Linked DNA regions of Sus scrofa. The main gene of each other region encodes a partner of the protein of the gene in region 3 in a complex. Links are inferred from orthologs where the notes say so. Each region holds a gene or a part of one and is shown on either strand. Other genes may lie near its edges.

Region 1 (3,880 bases), on a different chromosome or scaffold from region 3:
TGTATTTATCACCTGTCACTTCTCTCTTCACTAGACTGTAAAGCTGAGAAAAATTCACCCACCCACACCCCCGCTGCTCCCGCCTAAGCCTAAGAGAACAGGGCAGATTGCAAAAACCCTGTCCACTCCTACCGGAGGCCAGGAGAGCACATGACGATTATCAGGTAAACCCTCGCCCACATCTGGTCCACCCTTTTCCTGGCAGCGCTGACTCCAACTGTCTTCCACCAGGTGCTGCCTAGCCCAGCTGACCACGCTGACATCTGGAACACCCCAGCCCACCTGGACCCCAGGAAGGGATCAACCCACACCCTCTCCCACATCACTAAGGGATTGAGACACTCCGAGGCACCTGGCCCAAGGCCCACGTGGCCAGGATGGCTGCCCTCTGGAGCCAGAAGCTGCCGGTTTCGACGTGCACTGATAAGGAGTGTGGCAAACCTGGCCGGGCCCTGGGGAACAGGGAGCTCCCAGCCCACCTGCTTTCCATGGACAGAGCCCAGGCATGAAGGCCACTGACTTTATTGATTTAGAAAACTTTACAAGGACAGGAACTGTTCTGCCAAAAAGAGGGCCAAACATGGCATAAAACAGATCAGAAGTGAGGGTAGGGGTAAGGGCCAGGACCAGGAATTCACTCAGAAAAGCTGGTAATTGCTGACATGAAACTGGCAAGGAAAGGAGAAGGGAGATGCATGCAAGTGTGAGAATTCCAAAAAAGGTGACATGGTGAGGGGAGAGAACTCCCAAAAGATGCTGGAGTACGTTGGAAGTGCACACAACAGCAATCTTTTCCTTTGTAGAGGATGGGGGAGGAGTCCTGGCTTGGCTGCAAACTCTGGAGACTCAATGCTGGGGCTTGGGGTCGGGGGCTCCCCGGAGGGCATCACAAGAAGGCATCACACCACTCCCGGAGGCACCCGAAGCAGTCCCGCGACTGCTTGGCATTGGCGCCACACGTGTCCTTCAGCCATTCCCGGAAGAGGTCTTCATCTTTCTTGAGCACCAGAAACTGGCCAAGGACCACATAGGCCTGCAAGACAGGCAGAGGGAAGGGCATGCTGCTAGGTGCTCTGCGGACCAGGAACGAGGCCCTCAGCCTAGGAAGCAGGGCCGGCTCTGGCTAGCCCTGCAGAATACATGCCACTGCCCACCCCCAACGGGTCCACTCACTCTCCTCCCGCCCCAACTGCCAGGAAAGAGCCCAGCAGGCCATCCTCAGCCCTCCCCAGCTGCACGCAGCCACCCCACACCTTGTCAAAGCCCCTTTCCTCCAGCTTCTTGCCCAGTACGTCACCAATCCCGGCCAGGCTTCCCACTGGCTTTTCCCCCATGGGCTCTGCCACGAAATCTCGGTGCTTTTGGGAAGTTGTCATCTTGATCAAGCTTAACCTGAGAATCCCAAGAAAAGGCAGGTTAGGGCTGAAAACCCGGGAACTCCTGAGGGCCCACTACCAATCTCACAGTTAAGAGGACGCTCGACCAGTCATCGCAGAAGCTTACTCGCTTCTCCCCCCACTTCACGGACGAAAAAAGCGAAGCCTAAGGAGTCTTTTCCTCACTATTCAAAAGAGAAATCTCTTCCACTCCTTGCAGGAGCTGGTTTCGGTACCACCCCAGAGGCAACACTATCTTGCTCTAACAGGTGGCGCACGCAGAGCAGAGTCAAGATTCCAAGAGTCTGTCAGGACCCAGGGCTCGCCCTGAAATTGTCACTCCTCGGTGACCTTGGCTGGGCCCAAGTGGCACTGACCCTGCCTGCAACGGCTACCTGGCCCGTAAAGCAAATGAAGGACTCTGTCCCACCCGGCCCGCCAGCTAATCACAAAGCAGAAGCGAAGCGGCTTCTCCAGCCCGGCGGGCTGCACGCCAGGGCTCCCGCCGCGCCCCACGCCGCCGGCCCCGCCCCCAGCGCGCCGCGCCCCGCCCCCTCCCCGCGCCTCTGCGCTCGCGCGCCGCGCCCCGGCCGATCCCTCTCCGAGGGCGCATCCTCTGGCCCGCCGCAGTGCTTGAGGCGCCTTTCCCCTTCTCTTCCCCGCGCCTCCGCCAGTCTCCAGCTTGGGCCCTGCACCGCGGCTCGCACTCACCCGCAGCTCCGGTTCCCGTAACGGCCTCTCCCGCCACCCGGCCGCTCCTGCGGATGCCTCGACCCGCTAGAACTTTCGCCCCACTTCCGCTTCCGGGTCGCCTCAAGAGCCGCCTTAAAAAAAAACCCAAAATTACATTGGGCACCTCTAGCCGCGTGAAGTCATAGAGTTGAGATTGGGCCGGGGTTGAGGGGGCGGCGCGCCAGCGTGCGTTTAGGAGGCGCTCCTTTCCGGTTGCTTTGCGGGAAGCCGGGCAGCTTTCTGTGGTCTCACTGCTCGGGAAATATTTCCGGTCTGAGGGAGCAGAGGCCTGGGAGGAGAAAACTTTATTTCTCGGCGGCGCGACATTTGGAACTTAAGGATTAAACGTGGCCTACTTGGTGGTGGGAAGAATTAGAGGAGCGGACAAGGAGGGAGGTGTGGCTGGGAGGCTTCCGAGAGAGCGCCGGAAGTAAGGGGTTTCCTCGGGCCGGCGCGTGCTGTCTTCCTCGCCGTCCGGCTTGTAAGAGACTTGAGTCCAAGGGGTCTTCACCGGCGCGACCGCCGGCAAGTCCATTTTCTGTGCGCTCGTTGACTCAGCTACAAAGCGAGTCGTTGACGAGACGTGTTCAGCGTCCAGCCTGGAGAACGGGGTCGTTCCGCTTCAGGCATCGCCCGTGGGATCCGAGGGCCAGAGAGTAAGTTTGGGTTTCTCTCACTGAGCGTCTTTCCTTCGGGGTAGGAAGGGAGGAGGGCAGGCAGGGGACGGCAACTAGAGATGACACTTCGGCGTTTCCTTTGGAAACCGGCCGTCTTCTGTGTGCGCATCAGTCCTCGTCTTCTCAGTACCCAAATCATAAACAGCAGATGCCAAAGACCATGTCGGCCGGCCCTGACCTTAGTTAACTTGTTCCTAACTTGAATTCTTCTCCCTGGTCCATGTCTGTGGTATGTTGAGAGATTGAGCATCTGTTTGTGTGGCTGTGCTACGCTTGGGATGTACAGGCATACCGAAGAAGAGTTTATGTGATTCTTTCTCCCCCTGGTTGCCAGAATGACTTGTTTTCCTGAAACCCGTGTTTAGTTTTTACCGTTGTATTTTTAAATTTGTTTATTTGTTTTGGCCGTGCCTGCAGCACATGGAAGTTCCCGGCTCAGAGATTGATTCTGTGCCACAGCAGCAACCTGAGCCCCTGCAGTGAGAATGCCAGATCCTTAACCTGCTATGCCACAGGAGAACTCTTGTCACACGAGTTGTTTTTACGTGCTTTACAGTGCTAAGTGCTTTGCTTATGCTCATTCTTAGAGCAGTGCTCTAAGTTAGCTATTGTTTTTCTCTGAAGTCTAGAGAAATTGAACAGTCATGAAATACCCAAGGTGGGATTTGAATGCAAGTAGTTCTCCTTAACCTGACACTGTGTCCTCCCCAGTAAAAGGTCCCTCCCCATCTTTAGAATAGTCCTTCTGAGACTGCCATCCAAGAAACTCAGGGAGAGGAGCTGACAGTCTCTGCATCCCTCACCCCCACCCTGGGACAGGACCCAACAACATGTCTCAGGCCACCAAGAGGAAGCACGTGGTGAAGGAGGTGCTGGGGGAGCACATGGTGCCCTCCGACCGGCAGCAGATCGTCAGGGTGAGTGGCACTGGGGTGGGGACAGGGTGACTGTAGCTCAGCAAGGGTTGCAGCTGGCTGATAATGCTGACTGGTACTTGGTCTCTTCTGGACCAGGTGCTCAGGACCCCAGGGAACAATCTGCATGAGGTGGAGACAGCCCAGGGGCAGCACTTCCTGGTGAGCATGCCCTCCAAAT
Region 2 (3,602 bases), on a different chromosome or scaffold from region 3:
GAAACAATTATGATAGCCAATCTCAATTATTTTCACATGTCCAGTATTTTCACCATAAGCTTCTTTGCTTTAAATATGTTGCTGCAAACATTTTTGCTACATAACTAAATGGCTGTTAAGGCAATTTTGCCGTGAAAGGTAAAATAACTGGTTGACAGTTTTTGGTTTCACAATTTGGTTTCAACTGGTTGAAATTTGTTAGCATTTCCTCCAGTTAGCAATGTTATTGATGGCTTTTTTGAGCTGACAGATGATCTGCCTCAAGAGTTGGTTTCTTATTTTGAAACACACTGCTTTGCAGGAGAAAGAGGCCGTGAGGGCCTCAAAGGTGCAGTTGAACCCACATTGCCCAAAGAACTTTGGAATGTCTACCAGTGGATATGTGACATATACCAAGAACAAAACAATGGTGTAGAGGCTTTCATGAACTGGTATGGTAGACCTGAGATTCAAACTCAAGCCACCTGAGTTCAGAGTCAGCTCTTAACCTCAACACTATGCACTTTCAATTGTTCTTAGGGGTGTAAAACCAAGAATTGTTTTTTGGGGGTGTGTATGAAAAAAATCTTCCTCATTTTACATTTAATAAATATACGTGTGTGTGTGTGTGTGTGTGTGTGTGTACATACAGTACCGGAACAGACATACAGCCTACAGTATATCTATGGTATTAAAATTTCATGGAGGGGCAATCAGGGAAAAAAATGGTTACAGAGGTGCCAGGGTGATGGGTCAGGGGAGATCATGAAAAGAAGACTGAGAAACACGGCTCTGTACTTCATAGCCTCTCCTCTTTCAGCACGGGGGAAGACCAGCCCTGTTTTACTAAGAAAAAAATTATCTATCACTCATTATTTCATTCAATAACTGTGAATTATATGCTTATTATATGCCAGGTACTAAGCAGAAAATAATGAACAAGACCTTAAAGTACCCTACCTCTTAAAACTACCAGTCTGTCAGCGAAACAGGCAAATTCAATACAATGTGATAAGTACTCTGGTAGGAATAATAATGGAACGGAACCTTATCCAGACTTGAGGGATGGGGAAGTTTCAAATGGTTTCTTAGAAGAGGTGCCTCAGCTGAATCCTAATGGAAGAGTGGGGATTAATCAGGCCCCAGGGAGAGAGTGGAGATGAAGGGGGAGAGGAGGGGTGCCCCAGACAGAGATAACAGCATATAAAAGGACTCAAGGTCATAAGAAACCAAGCTGGGTATGAGATGGACAATAAAGAAATGGAAAAGGAGGTCCTTTGTGGCTCAGTGGGTTAAGGACCTGATGCATCACTGCTGTGGCTCAGGTTGCTGCCATGGCATGTGTTCAGTCCTGGTTCAGGAACTTCCACATGTCACAGGCATGGCCAAAAAAAAAAAAAAAATGCAAAGAATTTTGGGGAAGGAATAAAAACATGAGGCTAGAATTCCCATTGTGGCTCAGTGGGTTAAGAACCTGATGTAGTCTCCCTGAGGATGCAGGTTTGATCCCTGACCTCACTAAATGGATTAAGGATCTGGTGTTGCTCCAAGCTGTAGCATAGGTCACAGATGGGGCTCAGATCCAGTGTTGCTGTGGCTGCAGCATAGGCTTCAGCCGTCACTCTGATTCACCCCTGGCCCAGGAACTTCCATATGACACAGGTGTGGCTGCAAAAAAAAAAAAAAAAAAAAGATGAGCTCAAATAAGCAATGGCCAAATCAAAAGAATCTCATAAATCATGCCAAGAAATTTGGACTTTACCCTGAGGGAGAAATCAAGCCAGTGAAAGGTCATACATAGGAGAATAACATGATCAGTGCTGTGCTTCAGGGTTCCTTTGGCTGCAATGTGGATGACAGGTTGCAGAGTTAAGACAGAGGCAGGAGAGTTCCCACTGTGGTACAATGGGTTAAGAACCTGACTGCAAGGCAACAACCTAAGTGTCCATTGAGAGATGACTGGATTAAGAAGATGTGGTATATATAAACAATGGAATACTACTCAGCCATAAAAAAGAACAAAATAATGCCATTTGCAGCAACATGGATGGAACTAGAGACTCTCATACTAAGTGAAGTCAGAAAGACAAATACCAGAGTTCCTGTCGTGGCGCAGTGGTTAACGAATCCGACTAGGAACCATGAGGTGCGGTTCGGTCCCTGCCCTTGCTCAGTGGGTTAACAATCCGGCGTTGCCGTGAGCTGTAGTGTAGGTTGCAGACGCGGCTCAGATCCTGCGTTGCTGTGGCTCTGGCGTAGGCCAGCGGCTACAGCTCTGATTCAACCCCTGGCCTGGGAACCTCCATATGCCTCGGAAGCGGTCCAAGAAATAGCAAAAAGACAAAAAGACAAAAAAAAAAAAAAAAGAAAGACAAATACCATATGATATCACTTATATCTGAAATCTAATATATGGTACAAATGTAACTTTCCACAGAAAAGAAAATTATGGACTTGCAGAATAGACTTGGTTGCCAGGGGTTGGGGGGAGTGGGGGGGAGAGTAGGAGGGACTGGGAATTTGGGGTTAATAGATGCAAACCATTGCCTTTGGAATGAATAAGCAATTGGATCCTGCTGTATAGCACTGGGAACTACATTGGTCACTTGTGATGGAGCATGATAATGTGAGAAAAAAGAATGTACACATGTATGTGTGAACTGGGTCACCTTTTTGTGCACTAGAAAATTGACAGAACACTGTAAACCAGCTATAATGGAAAAATAAAAATCATTATAAGAAAAAAATACATTTGCTAAAAAAAAAAAAAATAATATATATATATATCTGACTACAGTAGCTTGGGGGTGGCTGCAGAGGCACAGATTCGATCCCCAGCCTGGAGTAGTAGGTTAAAGGATCTGGCATTGCTGCAGCAGTGGCATAGATCACAGTTATGGCTCAGATTCAGTCCTTGTCCGGAGAACTTCCAAATGTCTCAGGTATGGTCATTAAAAAAAAGAGAGAGAGAGAGAGAGACAGGAAGGCAAGTTAGGATTAAGATAAAAATAGCTTACAACTTAAGATTCTTTTTCATACCTGGCCTCAGAGTGACAGTTACCATATTCCACAATTTTCAACTGAGAGTTATTGTTTCTGCCTCTTTTGCTCCACATGCATTACTATCAATAACAAAGGGTAAGAAAGCATTCTTGGATTTGTAGGTGTGGCACCCTCTTTTGTATACAAAAATAAAGAAATGAAAATAAACACTATAAAGTATTAAATAATTTGACAGACTGTCTCTCCGATGAGTAAATTACTCACAGTGCCTTCAATCTCTGAATAGAGTCCTGACCAGAAGCTGAAAGTACTTTTATCCAGCTGATACAGTCGAGATTTCTCAAATGTTTCTGAATCCATGATCTGTCCTAACTCCAGTGGTACATGAGTTGTTGTTTTATATATCCGTCTCTGAAACATTTTGAAGAAAACACCTTAAGGAAACAGTCAAATGAACTCATTATTTATTACAATAGTCATTTACGAGCAGACATTGAATGGTGATCGTAACACCAACACCAATCAAATAACATAATTTGCTTTATACATACACGAATATTGCATTTGATCAAGTATGTTGACAACTGGTGCAGAAATGCAAAAGAAGAACAAGGGAAACC
Region 3 (4,390 bases):
CCCGCCAAGGCCAGGAAGCTCCGCTTCAGGAAGCCAGCCCCATTTTCACCTCCTTTGGGGATGGGATTGAGGGAATCATGGCCAAGAGGAAACAGATGCCCTCTTGGCCCCTCCCTGGGCAGCCTGAGAGCACACCAGCCTCAGGCCACTCGTGCATCCTGTCCCTCCCAGCCAGGTCCCTGCTGCCCTACCGCTGCTCCAGTGGCTCCCCCATTACCTGCCACTCAGGGGTCAAGGGCCAAAGTGAAGTGGGCTCTCAGGGAGCCCTGTAAGCTTTGGATTTACTAGACAAAGAGGGCAATTGGGGTGTTACTCTGGGGCTAGCCTGTGGGCTGGCATAGGGATAGTGGGACAGGGGAATCTGGGGAGCTGGATCAAGGCAGGTCTAGAAAGGAGGGGGTTGGCTTGCATGATGTCCTTAGACTCCTCCCAGCTCTGAAGTTCTGGCTTCTAAGCAATGACTGATGAAGCACTGGCCCAAGGCAGTCCCTTCCATCCCATGGAGTCTCCCTCCAGGAGCTCCTGACCTTGGCCAAGGCCCTGCCCATCCACCTGCCACACGTGGCCGCCACTAATCCAGAAGTGCCCTTTGATCTGTTCCCCCATCAGGAAATCTCCTGCAGATTAACCACCATCCTCCCCGGGGAGAATTTGCTTTCCCAGTTGACCTCCCTGGGGTGAGTGCCAAGGGCTAGCCTTGGAAGGGGACCCTGAGGAACTTAGGGGCTGCAGGGGCTGGGAACCCAGGTTGGTTTTATGGTGAGGCTAAGCAAGGTGAAGCTCAGGGATCCACAGTGGCACAGGCCTTCCCAAGACCCTTAGAGGAGCCTGACCAGGTTTCCACGTGTTCACTTATCTGTGTGAAATCTGTAAAAGATATTCTCATATTTTTAAGATAGAGCCTCCCCACAAAAATTGGATGGACACTTAGGAAGACCAACTGTCCGGTTTTGCCAGGAACTGTTCGGGTTTGAGCACTGCAAGGCCCTTGTCCTAGGAAACTCCTCAGTGCTCTGCAAACAGGACAGGTGGCCACTAGTTTCAGGCCCCACATTGGGTAACGTTTGCTCAGCACCTGGACTGGGGGTGGGGGGGGAAACAGGGATCCTTTTCTGCCTCACTTCCTGGAAGCCTCTCGGCGCCTAGGGCTTGGGGACCCTTTTCGCCGGCCCCAGTTCTGGAGTTGTGGCGCTTCTGTTTGTTTCCTTGGCAACAGGGAGAGGAAACCCCCATTTAGGAGACCCGGGAGGCCCCGGCAACCACACACACACAGACACACACAGACTCACAGGCAGCCGCCCACACGCAGGCGCCTGCGTCAGAACCAGCCGTCAGCACTGCCCGCCTCCGGGCGGCGGGGGCGGGGGGGCGGGAGAGGAACCACCCCGCCGGAGTCCGGAGTCGCCCTACCAGCCCGAACCGATCTGCCCTGGAGGGAACAAGCCCCGTCCCCTTGGCTCCGCCCACGTCTCCGGGGCCCCGCCCCTTCCTACGTCTACCTCCCCTCCCCCACCCTCACCAGGTGGGGCGGGGCCAAAGCTGGGAGATAGGGAGCAGAGAGGACGAAGTCACTGCGGAATTCCTCTTTGGCTCTTGTCTGGTGTGTACCGTGGCAGTATTTTGGTGTGTATTGTGACGGTTCCAGGAAGCCTGAGGCTCACAGGTGGGGCGGCTCTCTGGGCCCATTTGAGTGGGGGATGGGGTTTGGAATGTCGGGCAGGGACTCCTGGGCAGACTCTCGGATTTTGCTGTTGGATGGAGCTCCTTTGGGGTCTGGACTGAAGGGAGGTGGGATGTAGTTAACCTGGAGGCAAATCCCTGGAGTTTGGGACCTGCTTCTGTCTCTTGTTGTGTGGCCTGGAGCATATCAGTTAACCTGGCCCAAGTCTCAATCTCCGTATCTGTATAATGGGCATCATGGTGTTTGCTTTGTGCATCTCAGAGAGGTTTGAGAGGGTTAAGGTAGTAATCTGGATTGTGAAAAGATGACACCTGGGAGACCTGCCCAGCCAAATGTGAAGTGTAAAGGGTTGGTTCTGTGCTCATTATCTAGCGGCCCTGTCTGGCCTGGCTGGAGCACCCAGGGAAGATAGCCAGCCCTACACTGACCCCTGCAACCCCTGCCTCATCATGGTAGCGATAATGCCCATCCCTTGAGGTCGATTAGCCCCTTCCAGTATGTCCAGAGTGATGTCCTGTCTCCTACAGTAGTGTGAAATAGGGTCCGAGTACTATTTGGGGGTTTCTGGCTGTGTTTGGGCAAATCTTAGCTTCTCCAGCCTGAGAAGCCCACTTTGTAAAGAGAGGGGTTTAATTCTCAGAGCCCTGGGGGCCTCTTAGGGGAGGGGCAAAGGATCACCAGGCAGGGGTCCCTAAACTTCCCTGCTAGAGAGACTCTGCCTCTGTCATTTAGTATATTGGGCTTTTGGGGTGAAATTTCATTCAAATGAGGGGTTCACTGGCTTTACAAAAGGCCATCAAACACGCTCCTTCTGAGGGCCTTCCCAGCTAAACTAAGCCAAGCTAATTGTTCTAAGCCTGCATCATTCCATCTAGCTGGGTCCGGATGGGAAGAAGGCAGTTACTCAGCTGGACTATCTTAGGTCAATTAGTCAACTTCTCGGAGTTTGGGTTTTTGGTATATAAAATGCAGATAATAATACCTTCCTCATAAGGCTGAAGTCAAGATGAAGTGGGATCAGCCCCACATGGCCCCTAGCCCAGTGCCTGGTATGTGGCAGCTACTTAAAGAACAGCCAGGTCCTTCCATACCACCTGTGCAGGAGTGACTCAGCAGTTCAACAGGTGTTTAGTACTTGACCCTGTGATCAAAGAATGAATAAGACAGGGACCCTCCCTCCAAGCACTCTAGGGAGTTCCTGTTGTGGCTCAGGGGAAACAAACCTGACTAGTATCCATAGGGATGCAAGTTTGATCCCTGGCTTCGCTCAGTGGGTTAAGGTAATCCATCGCTGCTGTGAGCTGTGGTGCAGGTTGCAGACGTGGCTCAGATCTGGCATGGCTGTGGCTGTGGTGTAGGCCAGCAGCTACAGCTCCAATAGGACCCCTAGCCTGGGAACCTCCATATGCTGTGGCTGTTGCCCTAAAAAGACAAAAAAAAAAAAAAAAAAAACCAACCCAGAAACATTATAAAGGGATTCCCAAACCATAGCCTTGACTCTCCAAATCACCCCCTATTTCCTAGACCCTCTCCCAAAGAGTCACCCCTTCCCACCCCTGTGGGGGCGTATAACTGTCTCCCAATGGCCTAGGTCCCACTGGAATCCTCCTCTCTCCCACTCCTACCTGTCCAGAATTACAGCCTGACAGCTAAGTGCTTGGCTTTCAGAGCAGGCCCACCTGTATCACAATCCCAGTTCTGCTACTAATCATATGACCTTATACAAGTGTTTCTCAACTGGATGTGATTTTGCCCCACAGGAGACATTTGGCACCTTCTGAAGACATTTTTGATTGTCATAACTGGGGGCAGAGGGCTAGGGATACAGCAAAACATCCCATATGCTTAGACCCACCCCTCACAGCAAAGAATTATCTGGCCTAAAATGTCAAGAGTGCCAGCTTTGAGAAACCCTGCCTTAGATGAATAATTTAACCTCCTTAGACTTCAGTGTCCCCATCTGTAAAATAGGACTAATAGTAGTGTTTACCTTATAGATCTATTGCATAGGTTCAACAAAGTCACGCAAATACCTAGTGTCTAATAATAGTAGTTACTCCACACATCCTCCCTACACAAATCATTATTAGAATGCCTCTGGAATCCCTCCTGGCTGCACCCTTCTGCTGAGCCCGCTCCGTTTAGCTTGCCTCTTGCCAAGGCCTGTGCCTCTGACTCCTTCCTCGCTGGTCTCAATGCCTCCCTCCTCTCCTTATTGAGCAGCCAGAATCCTTTCCCTCAGACCCCCGTCCCCAAACCAGGCAGGAGGCTGCCTCCATCTCCCCCTTCTCCCATCCTGCCTCTCCTCCTGCCTCACCTCCAGTGTCTCCCTGCTCAGCTCAGCTGTGCACCCTCAGCTCTTTCCCGCCTCACAACCTCTGCACAGACTTCCTCCCCCAGCACCAGTCCACCCCCGCTCCTCCCACGTGTCCTGACAAAGTGGCATAAGATAGTGAAGAAGTCCTGGAGCAGGCAGCCTGGTCCGAGTTCTGAGCTTGGCCTCTCGCTTACTGTCTGGTTTTGGGAATGTCAGCCTCAGCTGTAAAACAGGGACATGTTCTCCAGTCTATGAGGTGGTTTGGGAACCAAGATGAGAATGTATGTGAAAACTTGCAGCTGTAAAGAGCATCAAGGTATAAGTCACCCAGTTTATTGAGCATTGTCCCTTTTTTTTTTTTTTGTCTTTTTTTGCCTTTCCTAGGGCTGCTC

What was found.
Region 1: the proteins of LMNA (region 3) and BANF1 are in contact, whole or in part, in a crystal structure (PDB 6GHD), measured with the Homo sapiens proteins. The link is inferred for Sus scrofa from reciprocal best matches to the Homo sapiens genes LMNA and BANF1. Residues at the interface, in NP_001393912.1 of Homo sapiens: Ser431, Gln432, His433, Ala434, Arg435, Met540, Lys542; in NP_001137457.1 of Homo sapiens: Val11, Ala12, Glu13, Pro14, Glu83, Asp86, Ala87, Phe88.
Region 2: the proteins of LMNA (region 3) and ZMPSTE24 are in contact, whole or in part, in a crystal structure (PDB 2YPT), measured with the Homo sapiens proteins. The link is inferred for Sus scrofa from reciprocal best matches to the Homo sapiens genes LMNA and ZMPSTE24. Residues at the interface, in NP_001393912.1 of Homo sapiens: Cys661, Ser662, Ile663, Met664; in NP_005848.2 of Homo sapiens: Ser264, Asn265, Ala266, Tyr267, Phe268, Val332, His335, His339, Glu415, Leu438, Asn439, Asn442, His459, Arg465.

The regions. Positions count from the first base shown.
Region 1 is NC_010444.4:6,332,945-6,336,824, forward strand, and holds BANF1 (barrier-to-autointegration factor), read right to left. Parts: upstream 2,383-3,880; 5' UTR 2,088-2,382; exon of another isoform or gene 1,938-2,087; intron 1,916-1,937; exon of another isoform or gene 1,504-1,915; intron 1,393-1,503; 5' UTR 1,377-1,392; coding exon 1,254-1,376; intron 1,034-1,253; coding exon 887-1,033; 3' UTR 507-886; downstream 1-506. Other genes in the region: probable RNA-binding protein EIF1AD, read left to right, coding at 3,616-3,702, 3,799-3,880. UniProt on the Homo sapiens protein: Non-specific DNA-binding protein that plays key roles in mitotic nuclear reassembly, chromatin organization, DNA damage response, gene expression and intrinsic immunity against foreign DNA.
Region 2 is NC_010448.4:96,011,236-96,014,837, reverse strand, and holds part of ZMPSTE24 (CAAX prenyl protease 1 homolog), read right to left. Parts: intron 3,394-3,602; coding exon 3,247-3,393; intron 1-3,246. UniProt on the Homo sapiens protein: Transmembrane metalloprotease whose catalytic activity is critical for processing lamin A/LMNA on the inner nuclear membrane and clearing clogged translocons on the endoplasmic reticulum.
Region 3 is NC_010446.5:93,923,455-93,927,844, reverse strand, and holds the start of LMNA (prelamin-A/C), read left to right. Parts: upstream 1-1,560; 5' UTR 1,561-1,663; intron 1,664-4,390.